Linked DNA regions of Macaca mulatta. The protein of the gene in region 1 purifies or fractionates together with the protein of each later gene. This does not show direct contact. Links are inferred from orthologs where the notes say so. Each region holds a gene or a part of one and is shown in the gene's direction. Other genes may lie near its edges.

Region 1 (4,106 bases):
AAGGAGGAGTCAAACAAAATAAAATGAAAAACGTATATAGTAAGTGCTTTACTGTAAGTGAATGGACGAGAGTACTAAGGAAAAAGAATAGAGACATATTTCAAGTTTTCACGTTGTTTGACGCAAATCTTGTAGACGGTGTTTGCTGCAAAAAGATGAAGAAAACATTCACAGACATTTATGTTGATTACATATTTATTGGTATGTGCCAAGACGTTTTGATCTTGGGGATGAAGTAGTAAACACAAAAATCTCTGTTGTATAGGGCTTACATTCTAGCAATAAAGAACTTGCCCAGAGAAAAGCCCTCTCCTGGTTAGTAAACAGTATGAACAATTAACAGCTCTGGTTGTTTCACAGAGCCACACTGGGCTGCCTGCTGCAGACAATATCACAGTATATATTTAAATATTCTTTTAATTTGTCCATGTATGTAATTTGCAAATTATCACTCATATGTATACATATCAAAAGATGTGTAAAAGTTTTTGATAGAATTCAGCATTCATTCGCTTAAAAAATGAGTGCAGGCTCACTTTATTGATGAGAGTATTTAATCAAAAATATTGGGGATCTACAACTCTAGAGTTCTCCAAAGTCCACCAAGGAAAAAGTAATTTGAATTTAATCGCATTTAAAACTATATAGTATCCATGCCTAAAACATTAGCAACATAGGAAAACTTACACAGCAGAAGAGATGGCTGGGGAATTTTTTTTTGTTTTTGTTTTTTTGTTTTAAGACAGGGTCTCGCTCTGTCGTCCAGGCTGGAGTGCAGTGGCGCGACCACCGCTTACTGTGGCTGGCCTCGACTTCTCCGGCTCCAGTATCCTCCCACCTCAGCCTTCCAAATAGGTGGGACCACAGGCACCACCACGCCAAGCCCGTATATGGTTTTTAAGTAAGACAAATTGCAAAAAAACGTTACTAGACAGTGTTCGCAGGTTTGAGCCGTCACTGGGAATGGCTCGTGTCCGTCTAGATATTCAGAGGCCGAGCACAGTCCTCAGTAGGGCTGCTCGGCGGGTACACTGCTGCCGCTGGCCCCTGGGCTTACGGGAGTGGGAAGGGATTTCAACTCGGCCGCGGACCGGGAAGGCGTTCTGACCCGCTAGAGCTCCGGGCGAGGGACCCCATCCCGGTGCCTACAGCGCCTCCTTTAGCCGGCATGGGCCAGCGTTAGTTACCTCAGGGCACTGAACTGGCGCCTGCGTCTTTCTGCACTTCTCGCTCTTTCTTCAAGTCACTTATGCCCAGCGAGCCCGCCCTCCCGCCCGCCAATCGTCATTTCCGGCGGGTGCTCTGCGTCATTTACGTCGTCACTTCCTGCCGATACCGGTGTGGACGGTGTGAATCGTGGCTGGGCCGGTTCTCTGCTTCTCCCCATCCCCTACTTTCCTCCCTCCCTCCCTTTCCCTCCCTCGTCGACTGTTGCTTGCTGGTAGCAGACTCCCTGACCCCTCCCTCACCCCTTCCTAACCTCGGTGCCACCGGATTGCCCTTCTTTTCCTGTTGCCCAGCCCAGCCCTAGTGTCAGGGCGGGGGCCTGGAGGAGCCCGAGGCGCTGCAGCCGAAGAGAGAAAAGACAACGACGACCCTCAGCTCGCCAGTCCGGTCGCTGGGTTCGCCGCCGCCATGGCAATGAGACAGACGCCGCTCACCTGCTCTGGCCACACGCGTCCCGTGGTTGATTTGGCCTTCAGTGGCATCACGCCTTATGGGTATTTCTTAATCAGCGCTTGCAAAGGTGAGCAAGGCCTCAATCCTGGTCCCCGACGGCTGGGACTGGGCCGAAAGGGATTGGGACCCGCACTCTCCAGTGCTGAGCTGTGGTGTGGTGAGCGGGGAGGGGGCGATATTAACATCTGAGATGAGGGCCAACACTGGTCGGGTGGAGAAAGGAGTGTGTTAGGGAATCCGCAGCTGGAGCCGAGAGGCCTCCGGACGCTTATGTAGAAACTATTACCCCCAGCTAAGACCTCTCTCCTTATTTTATTTTTATTGCTATTTTTGAAGGAGCTGGACAGCACTTGCCTAGACTCTCGGGACAACACTGTAAATAGCTGTCAAGGATTTGGGGAAAGGAGAAATTAGGCCAGGCCGTGCAATACCTTACAAAGATGTTCGCTCTTGTCTCACTGGGTATTCCTTTGTGGTATTAGCCTCATTTTTCAAATGGGAAACAGATTTAGGCTACAATGTTTGTCCAAAATAAGACTAAAATCTAAGTTATTTCGACGCAGATCAGTATTCCCAGCAAATTACAGATGCTTTTCAGGGAAAATGATCTGTTCAGCTCTTCAGTTAATTATTACTGGACATTCCGTAGTGACTTCAATCGGTGGTGATAGTTAAATAGCTGAAACAATTTTTCCACTTCGTCATTGAACATCATTGTATATTTACATTTGAATCTTAGACTCTAATCCGAACTTATAAATTACATGTTTTAAAAAATATTTTCTAGATGGTAAACCTATGCTACGCCAGGGAGATACAGGAGACTGGATTGGAACATTTTTGGGTCATAAAGGTGCTGTTTGGGGTGCAACACTGAATAAGGATGCCACCAAAGCAGCTACAGCAGCTGCAGATTTCACAGCGTAAGTGTAGCCAAGATGGCTAACTTTGGTGTTCTCTGTAGATTGTGTCCTGAAATAATCAAAAACTTCAGTCTCAGATATTCATAAAATTCTGACTCGCTGGCTGCCATATAGAACGCATGATGTTTGATCTCACCAAAATTCCATCCTGGTCCATCGTGGTCCTGTGTGCTGCTTTTGTCTTCAGTGGTTCTCAAAATTTTTAGAGGCCTAAATGACTTACTCCTTATATTTTGATTGAGACTCAGGAATCTGCATTAACAAACGCTCCAGATAATGAATGTTGATCTCCTTTACGAATGCTGCTCTGTGTGTACTCCTTAGTGATAACCTACAGTGATGACCCTAGGTTTTTATTTCAATCCCAGTTTTTGTTAACTGGCTGTAGGCATCACTAAAACTCATTGTGTCAAAAACAAAAAGACAAAACAACAACAAAGCAAAACTCAACTGCTCTTCATTTCCTAAGTTTTTAAAGGTTGAAATCTAAAGCATTCTTGATTTTCCCTTACATCGAGATTATCATCATCTGTTTTGATTGTGCCAGCAGGATGTCTCCTGACTACAATGTTCCTCCATGTAGTAACTGCCACTGCCTTAGTTGAGGATCATTTTTAACTTTCAGTAGTTTCTTTTCCTCCTATTCATATTCCATATTGCTGCCAGTTGTCTTCCTAAAAATGTATTTGATCATGTCACTTCTCTACCTAATGATCTTGCTGTCTTCCCTTTGCCATTTTAGTAGTTCATGACCTTTGATATACATTAGAATATCTGGAGAACTTTTCAAATATTCAAATGGTATGTGTCCCAGAAATTTGGATTTTTAAAACTTTTTCTTTTACTTTTTTACTCTATGCATATATATATTTACACTTTTTACTACATTGAAAAATTTTTAAAATACTTTTTAGTATATAGACAGTATCTAGCTATGTTGCCCAGGCTGTCTTAAACTGTTGGCCTCCATGCATCAGCCTCTCAAAGAGCTGGGGTTGTGGGGGTGAACTATTGTGCCTGGTACAGAAATTCTGGTTTGATTGGTCTTTAGGGATAGAGTACTGATCATACTGATCATTGGCGTTTTTTTAATTTTTCTTCCCTCCTTTTCTTTCCTGATATGCAGTCGTAGAATTGCTGACCTAAAGGACACATTTCAATTGTTGGCCCTTTACAGTTTGCTTCATCCTAGTTCATCAACATCATCCTCTCCCATTGCACACCATAAACCTACAATCTAATTATACTAATCTTATTGTTGTCAGAAATATACTTTACCTGTTCTGACTTTTGGCTGTTAATTATGTTATTAAACTGACCTACAGTGGCCCTCGTTGCCTTTTTGGGAATATATCATGTATTAAAAATCTTGTTTTCTCCAGTTCCTACTTGGTATTTGTAACTTAGGAATTTGACACTTCATTGTTTAAACTGATGAAGGCAATATCAAGAGCTATTGTGCATACACAAATTTATTAGATTTAAGAGGCTAGAGAGTACAAG
Region 2 (3,500 bases), on another chromosome or scaffold:
TTTCATCTATTATTTTATGTAGGTGTATCTAACAAGAATACCAGAAGATAATTATCTTTCCGGTGCTGAGGAAAATACTTTCTTAAAAATGTCTTTAATATGTTGATCTTTGTCCTTGAAATTAGTCATTAGGAATGAACTTCCTTTTCCTCTGCTCCTCAATATTCTGTTCTTAATTTGGCTCTTGGCTATACTGGAAGAATATAATATGCTGGAAGACTATAATATGCATTGGTAGCTATGCCATACAGTTAATGCAAACAAATAATTGCTATCTTCTTCAATTCAAGACTTCTCGTGGGATTGATGCTGAGAAGGTGAATCTGGTTGTAAATCTGGATGTACCATTGGATTGGGAGACATACATGCATCGGATTGGGAGAGCTGGCCGTTTTGGTAAAAAAAAAAAAAAACAAGTTTGAGTGCTTTCTTTAAGGGGCGGGATCTGTAATGTGACAGGTGGGCTTTGAATGTTATTTTTGTGAAAATGATTTATTACCACTCTCTCTGCTATAGGTACATTGGGACTGACAGTGACCTACTGTTGCCGGGGAGAGGAAGAAAATATGATGATGAGAATTGCCCAGAAATGTAATATCAACCTTCTCCCTTTACCAGGTACATTTCATCTGTTTCATTTTGCTGTCAGAATAATTATAGTGGTGATAAGCATAATAAAAATATTAATAATAGCAAACACAGAGTGCTTATGATGTGCTGGGTACTGTTCCCAGTCCTGTATGTACGTTAACTCATTTACTTCTCACCACACTCCTGTGAGGTGTGTGCGATTGTTTTGTAGATGAGGATATTTAGGCATAGAGAAAGTAAAGGTGTTACAACTAGTAAGTAGTAGGGAGAGGAGTGCAGGCTAACCACTGGCACGTGAACAATGAGAGCTGGCTGGGCGCAATGGCTCACGCCTGTAATCCCAGCACTTTGGGAGGCCGGGACGGGTGGATCACCTGAGGTCAGGAGTTCAAGACCAGCTTGGTCAACATGGCGAAACCTCTTCTCTACTAAAAATACAAAAATTAGCTGGGCGTGGTGGCAGATGCCTGTAATCCCAACTACTCGGGAGGCTGAGCAGGAGAATTGCTTGAACCCAGAAGGTGGAGGTTGCAGTAAGCCGAGATCAAGCTATTGCACTCCAGCCTGGGCAACACGAGTGAAACTCCATCTCAAAAAAAAAAAAAGAAAAAAAAGAAAGAAAGAAAAATGAGAGCTATATTAGCTCATTTAGTTAGTGGCTTTGCAATTTGATTGTATTCTTTGATACAAGGGGGGATATTTTACCTCTTTTAAATTGCTGTGAAGGTAATTCTTATCATATTCTCCTTTGTCACCATGTGGAAGGAACAGCATCTTTAATTTGAATATTATTTTGAAAAATTGGAATGAAATGTTTTCTTTTGATTTCAGTTCAGTCATTCGTTCTGCTTCTTTTTAAGTGCCGTATTGGAAACAATGCATGTTTGAAACTATTAAATGATCTCTTAAAAACAAAAAATTCTAAAAAACCCTTGAGTGGAAATATGGCATGTTTGATGTGCATGTTATACAGAAAATGTGCATTATAAATAGTGTATATTCATATATAGATATATGTCTGTATAGAAAAATACACATATAGGTCACGCCTGTAATCCCAGCACTTTGGGAGGCCGAGGCAGGTGGATCACGAGGTCAGGAGATCAAGCCCTGTCTCTACTAAAAATACAAAAATTAGCCGGACATGGTGGCAGGTGCCTGTAGTCCCAGCTACTCGGAAGGCTGAGGTGGGACAATGGCATGAACCCGGAACGCGGAGCTTGCAGGGAGCTGAGATCCGCCATTGCACTCCAGCCTGGGCGAAAGTGCAATACTCAGTCTCAAAAGAAAAAAAAAAAAAAGGAAAAATACACATACAGTATATACATGACTTTGTAGAATATGGGATATGTAATTATTGAATAAATATAATTGAGTATTTTACCGATTTTATATTTAATTATTTTACAAAGCTAGATTTAGCACAGATCTGGGAGTTCTATGTATTCTAGTAGATCGGGTTAGTAATAACTCATTTTATGATCTTTTACAAATCTCTAATTGCTCTAAGCTTAGAGTCCTGATTTGCAAAGTACTTTAGAGTAAATGGTCTTTAGGCTCTATGTCAGTTCTAAAACTGTCAATTCTTTCTGTGTATAAGTCTATTCGTAGTCTGATATGGGAAAAAAATTGAAAATTGGTAGAAGAGGGTTAAGACTTCTTGTAGGATTCAGTATCATAGCATCTAGTGATAAAAATTGCCTTTGGATACTGGAAAATGATATATTTGGATCTTTATATAATGTTAACAGGGCCCTGAAATCATGAGAAAATGATATTCATGCTGTTAGGTCTATATTGAACTGGGAACTTGTGTAACAACAGATGTTCAGATGAGTTTCCTGGGGCAGAACTAGGAGGGAAATTGGCCTGTATTACAGGACTAGGCACGCAAGGGATATCAGCTGAGTAGTAATGAGAGTTTTAATCATAGAATCTGTTCAGCAAAGGATCAAGAGACTTCATTGAAGTTTCCAGACCTGTTGGATTTATAGATAACATGGAGCATAAATAGCAACAACAGGCAAGATCTTTGTAAAGCAGGGGCTTGATATATCTTGTCTGCCTAAGACAAAAATTGATCACACTTTGAAAGTTCTGAGTGCTGGAAGCAAATTGTCACACCTGGATGGAATAGAAAATTTAGAGGGTTGAAGCCAGCAAATTCTTTAAAAATTAGAAATGTCATTTCTAATTTTCATAGTCACCAGATCTTTTCATAGTTATCTAGTTTTTTTCCCCTATAGAGGTTTTCTCTCTATTGTTAAGGGCAGTAATTTCTCCCTGTTGGAGTATTGGGTGACAGATTTAGTTGGGTGTACAGCATTGCAGTTGTAATAATTCCTAGTCGATAAGCTTTGGGGAGCACAATCCATTTTCTGATATCTTGTTTTGCTGTCAGAAGTATTCAGATAAAGGGGAGGGGCTGTGGAGAGGGAGGAGAGAAAAGATGGGAGAGTTGCAGCAGACTTGTACATTATTCCTAGAGTAAGCTCTTTTTCTAGTGAGGGTGAAGGGAGATAGTGCTTGTGAGTATGGGATGGGTCTTAGGTATTTCTTAGGCAGATTTCTTTATTACAGGATTGCTTCAGTTTTTAAAAATATTATATCTATTAAACATCTTAGTATATTTGCATATTTTGTTTCGTAAATGTATTCGATCATAGAAAACTTTATGAAATCATTCAGAAAACAATGGTCTAGAGTAGCTTGAGAATTTTAATACATTTGTTTTCCTTTTTATGTAGATCCCATTCCTTCTGGTCTGATGGAAGAATGTGTGGATTGGGATGTGGAGGTTAAAGCTGCTGTGCATACATATGGCATAGCAAGTGCACCTAACCAACCCCTAAAAAAGCAAATTCAGAAAATAGAGAGAACCCTTCAAATTCAGAAAGCTCATGGTGACC
Region 3 (4,270 bases), on another chromosome or scaffold:
CTGAGCAAGAGGGATGTTTGTTGCTGAGGCTGCTGGAGCTGCGGTCTAGAGCAAGTTGCAGGCCTCTGAGTCTGTTGGAGGTTGAGAAAGGTTAGCTGACTTGCTTAAGTAAGTGTCCTAGACAGGAGGGAGAAAGTGCGCGGGTCTCAGATCCTAGCTCCAAAATCCACGCCCTTTCCCTTTTCATCTCCCGGAAGGAAGCCTTCACAGGTGCGGAAAATGCTCACCCAGTGATTCTAAAGTAGTGCACAAATTGGCATTAGAGGCTGGTTCTGATTCCTGCTATCAAGGTTTATTTAATTCCAAGCTCAAATAACACAGAAAATAAAACTTCCTCCTTAAAAGGTTCTGCGGAAAAATATTCTCTGTTCTACGTAACAGCCTACTTGGCTGTGTTTGTGTCTGAAGAAAGGACTAGTCTGACAGGAAGAATTACAAATCTGGAGCTCATTTTGGCGTCGCAGAGGGAAGGTGGGTGGAGCGTCTCGCAGTAAATTAGGAATTCAGAATGAAAACGTAGAGTTTATTTGGGTTTTTAGTGACACCTCAGGATTATTATACAGGAGTGTCAGACACAGCTCAAAGTAATGATGACTGCTCCCCCTCCGCCCCACGGGGGCTGGGTGCTAAGAAGGGGGAACCTCTCCTTTGAGGGTTTGGGGTGGGGACCCTCCCTTTCCAACCTGGATCGGGAATGGGGATGAGAGGAGAGCGGTTTGGATCCCCATCCTGGGTCTGTGCTGGAGGGAGGCGGGAGGCTATTTGGAGGTGTGTTTCGGCTCAGGATCTGGGTCTGAGGCTGGGATCTGAGGACTTTCTAGGTTTGGAATTGGGTGGGGGAGCTAGGTTTGGGGTGACCGCTGGGCGCAGGAGGAAATAGGAGAGTGAGTCGCATGTGAAGGGCACTGAAGAGGGATCTTCGGGGGAAAGCTGAAGTTGATGCGTGGACTTGGAGAGGGGAAGTTGAAGTGGATGCTGGGGCCTGGCGCTGCAGCGGATCGGAGTGGCATGTGCTGGGATTGCCGGTGCGGGGCTGTGAATGGGGTCAGGGTGGGGCTGAGGCAGTACCAGATCTTCCGCGCCTAGAGGAGGTTAGAAGAAAAGAGCCTCGAGCGGCCACAGCCTTTTTCCGAAAGAGACTCACACAGACACACCCATCGCTCTACCCGGCCCTCCGGGACTAGCGGCTCAGCGGTGCTCTGGCTGGCAGATCCCGCCCCCACGCGGCCTCTGGGAGCTGGAAGCCGGGAGCCAACAGCGGATCCGGCCGGGGCCGCGGTCTGGCGGCCCGGCCCCCGGGGAGCATGGGGCGTGGCCAGAAACCGGCACCCGCGGCTGTGGATTGGCTGCCCGGCGGTCCCGCAGGCGGGGCTCCCGGCTGGGTCCCGCTCGGCCGCTCGCGGCGGCGGGGAGGCGGGGCCGGCGGGAGCCCGGCAGCCAATGGACGCGCGTCCCCCGAGCAGTTACAAAGGGCCGGAGCGAGGCCGCCGCGGCGGCGGGGGAGGTGGGGCGAGGCGAGGCTTGCTGGGGTGAGGCGGCGGCCGGGCCGGGCCGGGCCACAAGCGGTGGCGGCGGGACCATGGAGGCGGCGGCCGCTGCTCCGCGTCCCCGGCTGCTCCTCCTCGTGCTGGCGGCGACGGCGGCGGCGGCGGCGGCGCTGCTCCCGGGGGCGACGGGTGAGCGGCGGCACGGCGGGCGGGCGACTGCGGGGCGCGCGGGCCGGGCCCGGCCTCTGGCTCGCTCCTGCTCTTTCTCAAACATGGCGCGGGGCCGGGGGCGCAGGTGGCTGCGCCGGGGCCCGGCCGGGCTCTCGTGGCCTCGCGGGGCTCGGCGGCCGCCGTGCGAACCGCAAGCGGGGAGCGGAGGCGGGGCAGGGGCGTGTGTCCGGGCGCGGGCGGACGTGTCCTGCTGCCCGAGGCCGCCCCGCTCGGGACTCCCCGGGGAGGTGGAGTCGGGCGGAGTCGTCCGAGGTCCGGGGCTGCCCTCTGGGGTGTGAGTGGGCGAGGGTCAGGGGCGGAGAGTGTGAGGCCGGCGGGGACTGGCAGAGCGGTGGCTGCCCGCCGCCGCCCCCTCGGCACGGCGTGACCTTGTTCCGGGGACCCCCGCCCCAAGAGGGTCCGTGCCCAAGGCTGCCGGGCCCGGGGCGGGGTTTGAGGTTGGGGTGGAAGGCGGCTGCTGGGCGGGGTGTGAGCTCCGAGCCGCTAGGGCTTCGGCCAGTGGGAGTCGGGGGCGAAGTGTGGTGAGACCCCCCGGGTCCACAGGCCGCCGTAACTCCCGCCCGGCTCGACCCGACCCGACCCGACCCTGCTGGAAGGGGCTGCTCTTCCAGCCAGGGGGGCTTTGTGTGAGAAGAAGGAAGCGCGGAGATGCGCGGAATGTTTCTTCTTTCGTGCGTCTGGGGAGTGTTGAAGTGAGTCCAGTAACCAGAAGGCTACGGATTGTTTTCGTAGTGGAAACTTGAACGTTTGCTCGTTCTGCGGGGTTTGGAAATTTTGGGAATGACTGTGAATTGATTAAACGCTTTTTATTTCCTCGAAAGACCATCACTCGCGATATTCCTGTTCTTGAGTGACAGTTAATAGTTTGAATCAGACATCTGTGTAGCTGGTTTTCAAGGAAGAATGTTCGCTGAATTTTTCAAAATATTAAATCAGGTTGGGGTAGGTGGTTGGCATCCTCGAAGGGATGAGTGAAAAACTTTGTTAGCAGCTGAACTGAGGCACTAGAAGCTAAAATACAGAGAGCCTCAGTGTTAGCGACTAAAATGCAGTGAAAGTACATTTCTGTTTCTGAAACTGGACACAAGATGTTGAATTTTTTTTTAAAAAAATCAAGACTGACGATTATAATTAGTCGTAATAGCTACCGTCTATGTATTATGCATTACTGCGATGTAAATGCATAAAGTACACAATTGTATAAGTACGTTATTTAATCACCACAACTAAACTTTCAGGAGTAGTGGCATTTGCCCCACTTTACAGATGTGAAAAGTGGGGTGCAGACACATTAAGTACCCAATAACTAAGTGCTAAAGCTAGGATTTTCACTCAGATCTCAGTTTTCAAAACCTGTATATCTTATATATTAATATATATACATCATACTATCTGGCGTAGCCCATTTTTCTTCTTCAGTCGTCTGCTGAGCAATTGGTCTTTATTATTCACTTTAGATTCTGTCCTCATGATTTGAATATCAGATAGGCTTCATTCCGACTCTTAGCACATTCCTGAGTCCCTTCACGTGGGCCTCCTGCATTAGAGGAAACAATGGATTTTTGATATTGGCCTAGGGAGGAAGGCAAGATAACTGTGTGGACATTTGGGAGAATCAGTATAGTTAGGCATGAAACACAGGTAACATTTCCACACCACTATTAACTTGAATAGCACAGTGCATTCTTTTCCACCAGAAGTAGCATAAGAAGTGTTCATGTATTCAAGTAACAGTAGTGGACTTAGTTGAATATACAGAACATTGCTCAGTCCATGTCCTGGAGAAGTTTACAGTCTCCTTGGCGTGCACACAATACAAAGCTGTCCAGGTGCTTATTACTGTAAGCCCAGACTGCCTCAGCTTGTCTGCCTTCCTTGTTGGTTATGATGATGCCTCAGTCCACCCTTAAAAGACATTCTGAAAAAGGTCAAATGCTTTTTTTTCCCCCTCAGTAATTTGGCTTCTCTTTTAAAGACTTGCACTTTTTTATGTTCTGAGTATGTTTTATTGTTGTCTGCCCAACTTCTCTCTCCAACATAGATTTCTCTAGGGAAATGGATTCCTTGTCCCTAGTACACAGTTTAGTACCACTATGTCTATATTTATATCCCATCTGAGAATGCTGTTTGCTTCCTTTCTGCCATTTCATAACTTTTTTTGTTTGAAAACATGCCCCCAATCCAACTCTTCTTTCTATGAATGCCTCTTGAATGTCTCCTCCTTTCTTGGTATGCAGCCTTCAGCTTAATCCTGCCTGTTATCCTCCAAATCTAGTTGCTTTCCCATGTTTCTCTCATCTAGGCTTTTCTATGGGCTACTGCCAAACTAATCTTCCTCAGCCATCCCCATGAAGGTTTATAAGATTTCCCATTTGTATTCAGCACTTAGAACCACACTTGAGCAGCTTATGATTGGGGCCATCTCTGAGTATCTTACCAGGGATCTCATTTCCCATGACTGCAGACCTTCAAACAATTTCTCTTTCTCACTGACTCCTGACTGTTCAGCCTTTTCACTACACGTTTAGTTTTGCCCCTGTTATGGGAGTGTG
Region 4 (3,984 bases), on another chromosome or scaffold:
AAACAGGCTATTGAATCTATCCACAAAACTGAAGATACTTAACAACAGGGCTCCAAATAGCTTAAGTGCCAGCTCTCTGATCTCATGGCTAACAACCTGAGATTTCTGCCATCTGGTCCTCGCTCAGGACCTTTGCACTTAAACTGTTAAACACCACCCCCCGCTCCTCCCCCCCTCCAGATCTCGCTTCTATCTGGTTTTTGTTCAAATGTTGCCTCTTCAGAAGAGGCTTCCATTATCAAAATAGACTCGCTCTCATTTCCCATCCCTTTATTCTGCTCCATCGTTCTTCATTATGCTGGCCACTATCTCAAAATATCTTTTATTTTTTATATTTATTTATTTTTGAGACGGAGTCGCTCTGTCGCCCAGGCTGGAGTGCAATGGCACGACCTCGGCTCACTGCAAACTCAGCCTCCCGAGTTCAAGCGATTCTCCTGCCACAGCCTCCCGAGTAACTGGGATTACAGGCGCGCACCGCCACGCCCGGATAATTTTTGTATTTTTAGTAGAGACGGGCTTTCACCATGTTGGTCAGGTTGGTCTCGCACTCCTGACCTCAGGTGATCCGACCGCCTCAGCTTCCCAAAGTTCTGGGATTACATGCGTGATCCACCGCGCCCGGCCTCAAATTATCTTTACTCAGTTAAATGCTTTTATTGTCTCTCCCAGTACAGTGTAAGCCCTAGCAGGAGAAGACTTTGCTTTAATCACGTGCTGTAGCCCCAAAGCCCAGACAGTGCCTAGCACACACGAGATGCTCGATGAACAGTTATCGATTGACTAGATTAAACATCAACGCAATCAGGCCATTCACTTAGGGACTCTTTGCTAGTCGGCGGAGAGGTACATTATAGTTCCCTACGCAGAACGCATGCGCGCAAGATCCGGGAAGTGTGATTGGAAAGGGGCGGAGCATCAGGGAGAGCCTCGCGGACATAGGCGGTTTGGAGCGGAAAGCGAGAGGTGGAGGGGCGGCTTGGGGCTAAGCGCGCGCGCGCAGTGCAGACGCCAGCTCCCGGCGGTTGAAATACTCAAGGTGCCCGAAGGCGGGGTGGTGACCTCGCGCGTGCGCTGTTGCCGCGGCGGCGCCGGGTCCCAGCGTGTGGGTTGAGCTTGGCCTCGCGCGGCGCGTGCGCAGTGCAGACGGCGGAGGGATTTGCGGCCGGGACCCACCCCCTGCTCCAGTCGCTAGCCGAGGCCGCGCGGGTTCCTGAGCAGCGGCCTGGTGCGCTCGCTGCGCGGGCGACGGAATCAGACGGACGCGGACGCCCCCAGAGTGGAAGCCCAAGCAGGAGCTGTTGTTGCTGAGGGGCCGCCGCAGCCGCCGCGAGCCTCCGGACAGACACCAGAGCTAGGAGGGCGCTGCGCGGCGAGTGAGTGTGACTGAGTGGCCCGACGGGGAGCGGGGCCGCTACCCAGAAGCCCCAGCGGTGGGCCCGGGCCTCTTCCCCGCGGCCAGGCCCCCTTCCCGCGTCCTCGCCACAGGTCACTTTTGCATCCCTTTCTCGGACCCCGAGTTCTCTGGGCACCCACGCCCGGTCCCCACATCGCCCTCGCGGTTCCCTACCCACAGGCCCTTGCGGTGTGTAGCCTTTTTTCTTTTTCGTTTTTCTATGTTGTCCTGGACCCTTACCCATAATTCCTTTCGCCTTTGCGGGGCCCAGATCTGTTACCCACAAGCGCTTGGTTTTGGGGCTTCGCTCCTTATGTTTCTCTTTCTTTGCTCGGAGACTTCCGACCCCCAGGCCCTTGCAAACTGCGTCTAGTAATTTGCTGTCCACGGTACGGGACGAGCAGCCACAACTGCCCTGGGCCTCCCTCCTCGGGTCTTTGATTCCCCCAGAAATTCCCAGGCAACCTCTCCGCCCCACAGCTCGTGTCTCAGGACTCTGAGACTTCACTACTCAGGAACCCTTTTTCAGCCTTTATTTTTGTGTCTTTTACCGGCCTTTCACCTCCACCTCCAACAAGACTTTTACCCTTTTCTCCGTAACACAGGACCGTTCTCTGCCGTTACAAAGCCTGTTTTAATTCCGAGACTTTTCTCCTTTCTTTCTTACTTTGAGAGTCAAGGAGTAATAGGGGCTTTCTCTGCAGACCCGATCTAACCTAAGGCTGTCCTGCTTCTGCTCTCAGACTTGGCAAGATGACCCAGTTCCTGCCGCCCAACCTTCTGGCCCTCTTTGCCCCCCGTGACCCTATCCCATACCTGCCACCCCTGGAGAAACTGCCACATGAAAAACACCACAATCAACCTTACTGTGGCATTGCGCCGTACATTCGAGAGTTTGAGGTGAGTTCACTGAGCAGGCCAGGAATGGTTTGGGTTCTGGGGAGCAAGGGGTTGGATTTGCGAGTCCAGCCTCTGACTATTTTGCTAGCTGTGTGATTTAAGCGAGGGGCTTAATCTTTGTGATCCTCAGTTTCGCTGTTTTAAATGGGGTTGCAGCCGGGTGCCGGGTGTGGTCGAGTGCAGCAGTAGTTCTAGCTACTCAGGAGGCTGAGATGGGAGGATTGCTTGAGCCCAGGAGTTGGGGACTGAAGTGCTCTGTGATTGTGCCGCTATACTCCGGCCTGGGTGACAGAGCAGGACTTTGTCTCTCAAAAAAAAAAAAATTTTTTTTAAAGTGGGGTTGTGGCCCAGTGCGGTGGCTCACGCCTGTAATCCCAGTACTTTGGGAGGCTGAGGCAGGTGGATCACCTGAGGTGAAGAGTTCAAGACCAGCCTGACCAACATGGTGAAACCCCGTCTCTACTAAAAATAACAAAAATTAGCCGGGCATGATGATGCCTGTAATTCCAGCTCCTTGGGAGGCTGAGGCACGAGAATCACTTGAACCCAGGAGGTGGAGGTTGCAATGAGCTGAGATCGTGCCACTGCACTCCAGCCTGGGCAACAGAAGAAGACTGTCTCAAAAAAAAAGTAGGGTTTGATAGTACCCCTTTTGTAGAATTTTTGTGAAAATTCAGTGAGTAGTGGTTGAAGATTGGCACTTAACCCGCACCATTTATCAGCTCTGACTTTGGGCAAATGTTGTATCCTCTTCATGCATTGGTTTCTTTATCTTTAGCAAGGGGATAGTGGTAGCACCCTCATAATGCTGGAGAATTAAATGGCAAAGTGTATATCAGGGGCTTGGCACCAACCAGTCAGCACGTGTCAGCCTTTGTTACTTTGTTTACTGTTTTTATTGTTAATAAGATGATGTTCATAAAGACTTAGCACCCAGTATTGAGTATTGGAGGACTTAAAACTGCAGATGGGGATCTTAGCTCTGCACCTTCGGGGTAAATAGGAATGAATGACTTAGGCTCCTGGACCTCTGTGTTTTTATTTGTGAAATGGGATGACAAAGGTCTTCTCCTAGGTGCATCAGAGCACACCTGAGAAAAACTGGCACATAGCCAGAAGTTACAAGAACATTCTGGCATTGCGTAGGGAAGGGCAGCTGGAGGCGAGGGAGTTGCACAGCAGAAGTTCATAGATAACAGAAAGGTGTATCTTCAGTGGGATTTGCCACCCTTGGTGAACCCGCATTTGAGAAGTGTTACTGGCCAGTTAAATTAACTTAATGGGCACAGGCGGTGGTAGGTGCCCTTTGATGATGCAGGTCATGTGCCAGTTTCTATTTATTTATTTATTTATTTGAGAGGGAGTCTTGCTCTGTCGCCCAGGCTAGAGTGCAGTGGTGCTATCTCAGCTCACTGCAAGCTCCGCCTCCTGGGTTCACGCCATTCTCCTGCCTCAGCCTCCGGAGTAGCTGGGACTACAGGTGCCTGCCACCACGCCCGGCTAATTTTTTGTATTTTTAGTAGAAACGGGGTTTCACCGTGTTAGCCAGGATGGTCTGGATCTCCTGACTTCGTGATCCGCCCACCTTGGCCTCCCAAAGTGCTGGGATTACAGGCGTGAGCCACCGTGCCTGGTCTCAGTTACTAGTTATTTATTTTTTTTTTTAATTTTTTTTTTTTTTTTTTTTT
Region 5 (3,966 bases), on another chromosome or scaffold:
ACACCAGCAACAAAGGTGGAGAGAAATTTTTAAACAGAAATGGGACACGGCCTCCTCTTAGAATTCAAGAGGTTTGAATTGAAGGTTATCTTTCCGTCATTGCACTTATTCCAGTGTGTACGTTTGGATTTATTTTTGTGATCATTAATGATGCTAGACTAAAAGTTCCTTGAGGACAAGACTACATCCGATTTTCTTTACAACTGTACACTTCCCAGTGATTACACATACAACATGTCAAATAAATGTGTTGTAAGCAAAAAGTGGGTAGGAGAGTACTCAGGAGACTGGCTGCTCATTATTTTTCCAATACTGTCAAGTGAGAGAGCCAGTGAATCTGTGAAAATAGAAGCATTGAATCTGGGAAAAGCATTCCTCTCACCAGAGGAGCATGCTGTACTGTCTGACAGGGGATAATCCATTGAACTTCCTGTGGTCATAATTACCCATTTTCCTCCTTCCCTCTTCCCCCATTGGATGAATCATCTCTTTGCTCTTATTTCAACCTTTTAATTACTGATTCACCCTCTTTGATTACCTGACACAACAGGAATATCTTTGGTAACTTGAAAGGTCAGTTGACTGAATTTGTTTCATTTTGTTTAGTGATTATGCAGCCTTGCTCACTCTTGTGCATCTGTTGCAATGTTGTTCGTGGAAAACAAAGGTCTCATTTAGATTTCCAAATTACCTTGCTAAAAAACTGACTCTATACTAATGAAATTCGTCTAATGCAGTAGATGTAAGAAAGAATGCTTGCACTATGAGAAGAAACGAGTGTGAGGCCCTTCTGGATTTTTTGCTGCGAAAAGATAAATCATTTTTTATGACTCCTGGATATGCCCTCAGAATTGTTCGCCTTCAAGGTTTACCCCATTATTGTGGGCTAAAACGTATTCAAACGCTCAAAGACTAGAGACGCCTAAAGCTACCCGCCACCCGTAGTGTCCAGGAGGAGTCAGTAAACACCCAGATTGCTTCCCGCAGCACACCCAAGAAGGAATGTAAGGGAATGCAGCCACCATGTTGGTTGTGGTTAAGTGCAGCAAACTGCTTGGCGTCACTCAGCCCTGCTGCGCAAGCGTATTGAGAGTACGCTTCACTCCGCCCCTTCTCGTGCACGAGCTCGGAGCGCGCAACTCTCGCGAGAGAAGCGAGATTTATTCCTACGTACCGGGCCGTGCTGCTTATGGCGGCGCTGGAGAGGGGGCGCTGAGCTGTTGGGGTGAGTACGACCTCAGGGTCCAACTGGGGGTAGCAAAAACCCAGGGGAAGGGCTGAGAATAAGACCAAGGCTAAGGGGAAAGCTTTCTGAGTCAAGGTAGGCACTCGTAGAGCTCTAGGTGGGGAAGAATGCACCCCAATTCCCTGCCCTGAGCTTTTTCATACGTCTCCCGTTCAACTGCCTGGGCCTCACGTCAGGTCGCAGAGCTGAAACCAGGAGTCGAGGCCAGCCGGCTGCGCGTTTTGGTAGTGGTGGTGGTGACTAAAGTGGGGGGAGGGAGCGAAAATGGAGGCTCCGACCGCAGCCAAGATGGAGGCATAGGGTGCGGGGCTCGGGCGCGGAGGCTGCTGGGAGCTGTAGTCTGGCGGCTTCCCCATCTGCCGCTTGGCTGGGGAAATGGGAACTACATGTCCCGGCGGGCGGGGCGAGGGGGTGGTGGCGCGGTCCTTTGTGTGAGGTTGGAAGAGCCTGAGACCGAGAAGAGGGGCCTGCTTTGACTCTGGACCCTATAGTTTGCTGGCCATTACCTGCTTGGGAATCTGACTACCAGTACCAGAGCGCAGTGCGGCAGTGGCGCCTTCTTTGTGTATAGACTGAGACCCCGCTCCATCTAGATATTTAGGGGTAGTGCTTAAAGACAGCTTTCCCCAGCCACATCTGGTACAGCAGCGTGGCGGAATTGACATCGTTACTCCAGTCACCTAGAGCAGGGTCTCAGCACCCAACCTTCCCCGCATTGTCTCCCCTTCGGCTTCTTGGGAAAGGGAACCAGTCCCTAATCTTTTAGGCACGTGGCTCCCACCCCTCTATCTTGAGGAAAGGGCGTGCGCCTTTTTGAAAGCTCAGTAGTGTCCTCCCTTCCACCTCCTCTAGCTCTGATGGTGCCAGCGCCTGGCCCACATTGTGCAATGAACTGCCTGGCTTCGTCATTGTATGTAGAATTTTTTGAAGTTCCCCCGTGGGAGACAGCTTCAAATTTTTACCATGATGTTTTATCAATACGAAATCTTAGTGCCAAGGTTCTTTTGCTTTAAGGTTTTCCCTTAGAAACACCCAGATGGCGGCCGTCTTGTTTAACTCACAGGTGAAGCAGAGAACGCTCCCTGAAACAGGCTTCAATCTGCAAAGAAAATCTGAACGTTGTTAGGCAAGTTAATTTTCGTGTTTTGCACCTTAAATGAGTAAAAGAATGTGGCGCTCTTTAAACAGTTGGGAGGCAGGGCGGAGAGGGAGAATGCTCAAAGGCACTGTGGTAGTTAAATCTTTTTGAGAGGCTTAAATTTTCATCAGGCTGGTATGAGCTGGCAGTTCTCAGCCACTGCTACTAACCTACTTTTTTAAAATGTAGGTTTCAAATTGTAACCCACAAATACAAGCTACACTTTTCTAAAATGCTGAGTAATTTTCATTTTGAGTAAAGGCAAACATTCTTGATACTACATTGAGGGGCACTGTAATACATACCTTGATTTTATTTTGGTATTGATATCCAATAATGTATATCCTTGGTGTGGGTAAGGAGGGGGTTTATATACTTGAATAGGCATATACCTGAGTCATAAAACCTGGATAAATATTCGGCTTTCTTTTTGTTTCGTTTTAGCCCTGGGACTAAAATAAAAGAGAAGCTAATAGTTTGGTTTTGCAGCTGTTCTGGATGTTTACCATCGAGATGAGTATTTATAGCAGCTGAGTTGAAAACTAAAGTATTTGAGGCACAGAAGATAGGTTTTCTTTTTTTGTGAGTAAGTTCTGACTTAAGTATGACCTTTAGCGAGTGTGGGTGAAAATCTGGTGAAGTCCTAGCAAATCAAAATTGAAAGTGTGAAAGCTGATGTGCAGTCCGGCTTTATCCCCTACCCTTATTTTTCCCTCCCCCCCCCGCGAAGACACATCGTGTAGGGCCATCGATTTTTGTTTTATACAAACAAAATGCTAAAATATCAAATTATGCTGGAGTATATACATAACATTTAGTGTTCCAATGTTTTTTATTGTAGAGTTCAGTGGCACTAAGTCTATTGAAACTGTTGTGAGAGCCATACTTTCGACAAGGTAGTTAAAACATGGAAATTTTGGACCGATGTTCTCTTGGACAGATTTTTGAGGAATTGCATTTCAGGACTGTATTGCAAAATGAGATAAATATCTTGATCTTGTTAAACACAAAGAATTGATGTGCTTTCTTCTTAGCTTTGTCTTTGCAGAAAACAGAAGAGGAAGCACTTTGAGATCTATTTTGTAAGCTTTAATAGCTAGACTGTCTTAAGTGGTGAAACTACTATGGGTGAGAGTGACTTGCTGTTAAACCCTTCTGCCCAGTCAGGATTTTAAAAATTCCTTTGTTTTGATATTAGAATGTTTTCCACTTGCATGTGTGGGTACCTAGTTAAAAAGAACACAAAACTTTTAAATATTTTAATGTCCTTTTATGCTGAGGTAAAACTGTGTGACTGAAAATTATCAGTTGCCATATGTTGCACATGTAAGCTATCCGTTGATTTGCAGCTACAATCAGTACATAACCAGTTATTTGCATTTCTGTTTCTCCAATTTAGTAACAACAAGCTTCTGTGCTAGATACTGCCTACTTTTATTAGTGAAAATCTTTGCTCAAGACCCTTACATTTACTTCCTGTTGCTAATTGGCACAATAGTGCTTTTTTAGACCCCTGCTCAGTTTATACCTACTCTGTGGAACATGGTGGCTGCCAGCCACGTGTGGCTGTTGTGCACTTGAA
Region 6 (4,043 bases), on another chromosome or scaffold:
GCCCGGCCTCTTTTTTTTTTTTTTTTGAGACGTAATCTCCCTCTGTCCCCCAGGCTGGAGTGCAGTGGTGTGATCTCAGCTCACTGCAAGCTCCGCCTCCCAGGTTCACGGCGTTCTCCTGCCTCAGCCTCCTGAGTAGTTGGGACTACAGGCGCCCGCCACCGCGCTCGGCAAATTTTTTGTATTTTTATTAGAGACAGGGTTTCACCGTGGTCTCGATCTCCTGACCTTGTGATCTGCCTGCCTGGGCCTCCCAAAGTGCTGGGATTACAAGCGTGAGCCACCGCGCCCGGGCTTTTTTTTTTTTTTCTTTTTTTTTTTTTTGAGACAGAGCCTCACTCTGTTGGTCAGGCTGGAGTGCAGTGGCATGATCTCGGCTCACTGCACCCTCTGCCTCCCTGGCTCAAGCGATTCTCCTGCCTCAGCCTCCCGAGTAGCTGGGATTATAGGCATGCGCCACCACCCCGTGTTTTTAGTAGAGACGGGTTACATCATGTTGGCCAGGCTGGCCTTGAACTCCTGACCTCAGGTAATCTGCCTGCTTCGGCCTCCCAAAGTGCTGGTATTACAGGCGTGAGCCACCGTGCCTGGCCAATAATTTTCAGAGGTAAAACTAACGTATTTATTATCTACCATTAAAGACCCAGGAGAACTTTAGTAGCTGGGAATCCCACTGGTTGTCCCAGCTGAGGTGCAATATTATCTTTTACCGTCTTTACCTTACGATAGCGGATATGGTGTTAATAAATGATTAGAATACTGCTTTATGAGCAGGAAATAATGTAATCATTTTCACCCTATCAGAAATAATAAAATGTTTTCTGCATGAGCAGATATTTTTCATGATTTGTTGGTGTTTAAAAATGTTTTCAGAATTATGAAGATACCATTATCTGTAGTTTAGGAAAACTACGACTCACTTTAAAAGAAAAAAAAGTTTTAAGTGCCTGCCCTTAGAAAAGATGGTTCCCAAGAACACACTTCCGGTACTCGAGATGATGACTTCCCTTGAACTCCCATTCTGTAAGACGGATAACGCGTTGGCCCTTAAGAAAGATGGCATCTTTCCGCCTTCTCTGCCCCCTTCCAAGATGGCTGCCCCAATGTACTCTTGGGACCTTGCCTGGCGCCTCTTCCGGGCTAGGCAGCGGGCGGGGTCCTTTGAGTAAAGCCTTGCGTGCCTGCGCCCGCGACGGAGGCGCGCTTCAAAGCGCAGGCGCGGGGAGGGGGTTGGGGAGGAGGGAAAGCGGCGAGTAAGATGGAAGATGAGGAGGTCGCTGAGAGCTGGGAAGAGGCGGCAGACAGCGGGGTAAGGAGGAGCCGCCGCCCCAGGGCAGGGCCGGGCGCGACCTGGCGTGAGGGGAGCCTCCGGGGAGCGGGTCTGGAGATAGTTCTCCCCAAGGAAGGGCCCCACACGCCGGGCTGGGGGTGGAGGAGAGGCCCCCAGTTCCTGAGTGCCGTGAAGGCCTCTTAAAGGGGCCGCGATCCATTTCTCTCCTTTCCTTTGCCTGGTGCGCCTCCCTCCGCCCACTAACGCGCGCGTCACCCGGGGCGCTCCACCCGCCACTTGGGGCCTCCTTTCCTGACCCCCCGCGCCCGCTCGCTGGCCCCAGGCCTCTGTGACTCTTTCCGACGGGCCCTGTCGCCCGAGGCACCATTTTAAAGTTCATGTGGTCTGACGGGGAGGGACACACCATGTGGGTGGGTGGGGGGGCTTGCGCAGACCCGGGACGCACGTCCGGCTTCGCAGGAAAGCGGGAGGAGGCTGCCGAGGGCGGGGGGTGGGGGGAAGTTGAGTCCTCTTTGGGCTACTCAACTCTGCTAAAATCCCCCACCATCCGTCACGGTGGGCGAGTCTGGGTTTTTTTGTCTTTCACTTTTACTCCAAGAAGAGTTTGTGGGCAGGCAGGCAGGTCTCACGGGGACACTGCCAAAGCAACCGAAAGCTCTGCGGGCAGCCCCTCTGCCACTCAGCGATCCGAGGCCCTGGGAGGGTCTAGGAGTGCGCTTGTCGGAGTCCGGGGGAGGGGTGTGATATGTAAAACAGCCGCATTCCTGGGAAAGGAGTGGGGAGATGGACCGTTCGACTTGTTTTGGGAGTTTTTGTTTGCCTCCAGAAACTGTAGGAAAATAGTTTATCTCAAACAGGATCTGTGAATTCTCTTAGATTCGTGAATAATTTGGTCTTTTCAAAGTTTGTGGTGAAGATGGGGAGATGCCTTTTTCGTCTCCTCGTGTTCGTGTCTGTTCAATGCTGGCTCCACTGACATCCACCTTAAAGGTTTACGTGTGTGAGGAGTCGAGTGTACCAGGGTAGAGTAGGCGCTGGGTTTTTTTTCCTAAGCGCTTTTTGAGGGTGCTTGTGAGCCCTGGAAGAGGCCGGGAAATTGACCCTGGCAGCAGTCAGTGGGTGTATCTAGCTCTACGGGAATGGGGAATGTTGAAACTTGACTTTGAAGTTTTTCCGCTGGTTCAGCATTTCTCTCACGGTTGTTTATGTTTTTCCATTTAGCATAATTGAGAATTTGAAGGATTAGTTCGTTCAGAGGATATTTAGTAGCGTTCTTAATGTGACAGCCATCTTTCTTGAGTTTTGGCTTAAGTAAAGAAAGTTAAAGATTTTATAGGGAGTAACAGGTGTCAGTTGGCTCCTTGTTCATTCAGCCCGCATTTTTGAGTGTCAGCTATATGCTAGACAGTGTTCTTACCAGTAACTTTGTGCCAGAAAATGCAATATTTTCGGCACAGGCGTTTACTGCCTACCACTAATCTGAGTGAATCATCCAGACACCCCTCATGTCATCCCCTATAAAAAAGCTTGGCTTACAATTTTAATGTCATGCAAATTATACGTTTCTTGGGCATCTTGGCCTTTCTTTGGTTTTCCCCACCTGTTTCAAAGGGTCATAAGTTCCTCATGTTAGAGAAGTTGGAGGCCAATGAACAAAGATGAATAGGATTCAGCAGAAATTGGGGCTTACTTTTCTTTTTCAGAATGGTGAAGTCAATTAGAAATTAGCTAGTGCAGTCCCCCATTTAACAGCTGAATAAGCCTAGAAATGTGAGATTGAGAGACTTAGGTCTTTCTAATGCTTGTCCCGTGTTCTTTCTTTTTTCTTTTGGTTCCCAAGTTTTATTTAATAACTTATATGAAATATTCCAGATAAATGAAATTTAATCCTTGTCTTCCTCCTCTTTGTCCTGGTTGATCTGGAAGTAAGGTAATTTGTAACGATCGTTGCTGTTAGCAACTAGGAGCAACCAATCACGTAGATTATTCTTCTTCAAATATTTTTTAGTGAGATATTTGAAATACCTTTTGGAGAAAGGCACCTCAGATGTCACGTTGATCTTGCTTCTTACTCCTTTCAATGGTCACCACCCCTCCACCAAAGTTCTCAGCTTTTCTGTTCACTTTGATCTTTTCTTGCAAAAACTGCTCAAAATTGGTAGCATCCATGATTCCATCTTCTACGGGGTGAGTGCGATCAAGAGTGAACTTGAGATTGAGAACCTGCTGCTTTTTTTTGCCCCCCTTCACCAGAGGCTTTTTCACAGGAACCATGGCAGCAGCGGAGGCAGAAAGCCAGTGTTCTTTCTACTATCCTTTACTTTAGTAATATCCTTTAAAAATGTACCACGGCCAGGTGCTGTGGCTCACACCTGTAATCCCAGCACCGTGGAAGGCTGAGGTGGGTGGATCACCCGAGGTCAGGAGTTTGAGACCAGCCTGGCCAACATAATGAAACCTCATCTCTACTAAAAATACAAAAATTAACCGGATGTGATGGCACGTACCTGTAATCCCAGCTACTTGGGAGGCTAAGGCAGGAGAATTGCTTGAACCTGGGAGGCGGAGGTTGCAGTGAGCTGAGATCATGCCATTGCACTCCAGCCTAGGCAACAAGAGTGAAACTCCGTCTCAAAAAAAAAAAAAGTACAGAAGTGGAACACAAACTTTGCCTTATTGGCATCATGAACACCTCTGCCAAAATGCAGGTTCTCTAATATATCTTATTTAATTGAATCCTTGAAACAACCTG

The links.
Region 2: the proteins of STRAP (region 1) and DDX20 purify together in Homo sapiens (affinity purification with mass spectrometry; 3 studies listed by BioGRID and IntAct, counting the BioPlex papers as one, with this or other methods). This does not show direct contact. The link is inferred for Macaca mulatta from reciprocal best matches to the Homo sapiens genes STRAP and DDX20.
Region 3: the proteins of STRAP (region 1) and TGFBR1 purify together in Homo sapiens (affinity purification with western blotting; 3 studies listed by BioGRID and IntAct, with this or other methods). This does not show direct contact. The link is inferred for Macaca mulatta from reciprocal best matches to the Homo sapiens genes STRAP and TGFBR1.
Region 4: the proteins of STRAP (region 1) and SNRNP70 purify together in Homo sapiens (affinity purification with mass spectrometry; 3 studies listed by BioGRID and IntAct, with this or other methods). This does not show direct contact. The link is inferred for Macaca mulatta from reciprocal best matches to the Homo sapiens genes STRAP and SNRNP70.
Region 5: the proteins of STRAP (region 1) and CSDE1 purify together in Homo sapiens (affinity purification with mass spectrometry; 3 studies listed by BioGRID and IntAct, counting the BioPlex papers as one, with this or other methods). This does not show direct contact. The link is inferred for Macaca mulatta from reciprocal best matches to the Homo sapiens genes STRAP and CSDE1.
Region 6: the proteins of STRAP (region 1) and SZRD1 purify together in Homo sapiens (co-immunoprecipitation; 3 studies listed by BioGRID and IntAct, counting the BioPlex papers as one, with this or other methods). This does not show direct contact. The link is inferred for Macaca mulatta from reciprocal best matches to the Homo sapiens genes STRAP and SZRD1.

Annotation. Positions count from the first base shown.
Region 1 is NC_133416.1:18,352,832-18,356,937, forward strand, and holds the start of STRAP (serine-threonine kinase receptor-associated protein), read left to right. Parts: upstream 1-1,306; 5' UTR 1,307-1,635; coding exon 1,636-1,747; intron 1,748-2,467; coding exon 2,468-2,603; intron 2,604-4,106. UniProt on the Homo sapiens protein: The SMN complex catalyzes the assembly of small nuclear ribonucleoproteins (snRNPs), the building blocks of the spliceosome, and thereby plays an important role in the splicing of cellular pre-mRNAs.
Region 2 is NC_133406.1:128,474,561-128,478,060, reverse strand, and holds part of DDX20 (putative ATP-dependent RNA helicase DDX20), read left to right. Parts: intron 1-290; coding exon 291-396; intron 397-516; coding exon 517-618; intron 619-3,338; coding exon 3,339-3,500.
Region 3 is NC_133420.1:59,300,419-59,304,688, reverse strand, and holds the start of TGFBR1 (TGF-beta receptor type-1), read left to right. Parts: upstream 1-1,470; 5' UTR 1,471-1,579; coding exon 1,580-1,676; intron 1,677-4,270. UniProt on the Homo sapiens protein: Transmembrane serine/threonine kinase forming with the TGF-beta type II serine/threonine kinase receptor, TGFBR2, the non-promiscuous receptor for the TGF-beta cytokines TGFB1, TGFB2 and TGFB3.
Region 4 is NC_133424.1:61,533,489-61,537,472, forward strand, and holds the start of SNRNP70 (U1 small nuclear ribonucleoprotein 70 kDa), read left to right. Parts: upstream 1-1,184; 5' UTR 1,185-1,376; exon of another isoform or gene 1,377-1,585; intron 1,586-2,139; 5' UTR 2,140-2,149; coding exon 2,150-2,296; intron 2,297-3,984. UniProt on the Homo sapiens protein: Component of the spliceosomal U1 snRNP, which is essential for recognition of the pre-mRNA 5' splice-site and the subsequent assembly of the spliceosome. SNRNP70 binds to the loop I region of U1-snRNA.
Region 5 is NC_133406.1:125,495,969-125,499,934, forward strand, and holds the start of CSDE1 (cold shock domain-containing protein E1), read left to right. Parts: upstream 1-1,166; 5' UTR 1,167-1,225; intron 1,226-2,260; 5' UTR 2,261-2,372; intron 2,373-3,966. UniProt on the Homo sapiens protein: RNA-binding protein involved in translationally coupled mRNA turnover.
Region 6 is NC_133406.1:224,669,015-224,673,057, reverse strand, and holds the start of SZRD1 (SUZ RNA-binding domain-containing), read left to right. Parts: upstream 1-1,243; 5' UTR 1,244-1,258; coding exon 1,259-1,309; intron 1,310-3,174; exon of another isoform or gene 3,175-3,565; intron 3,566-4,043.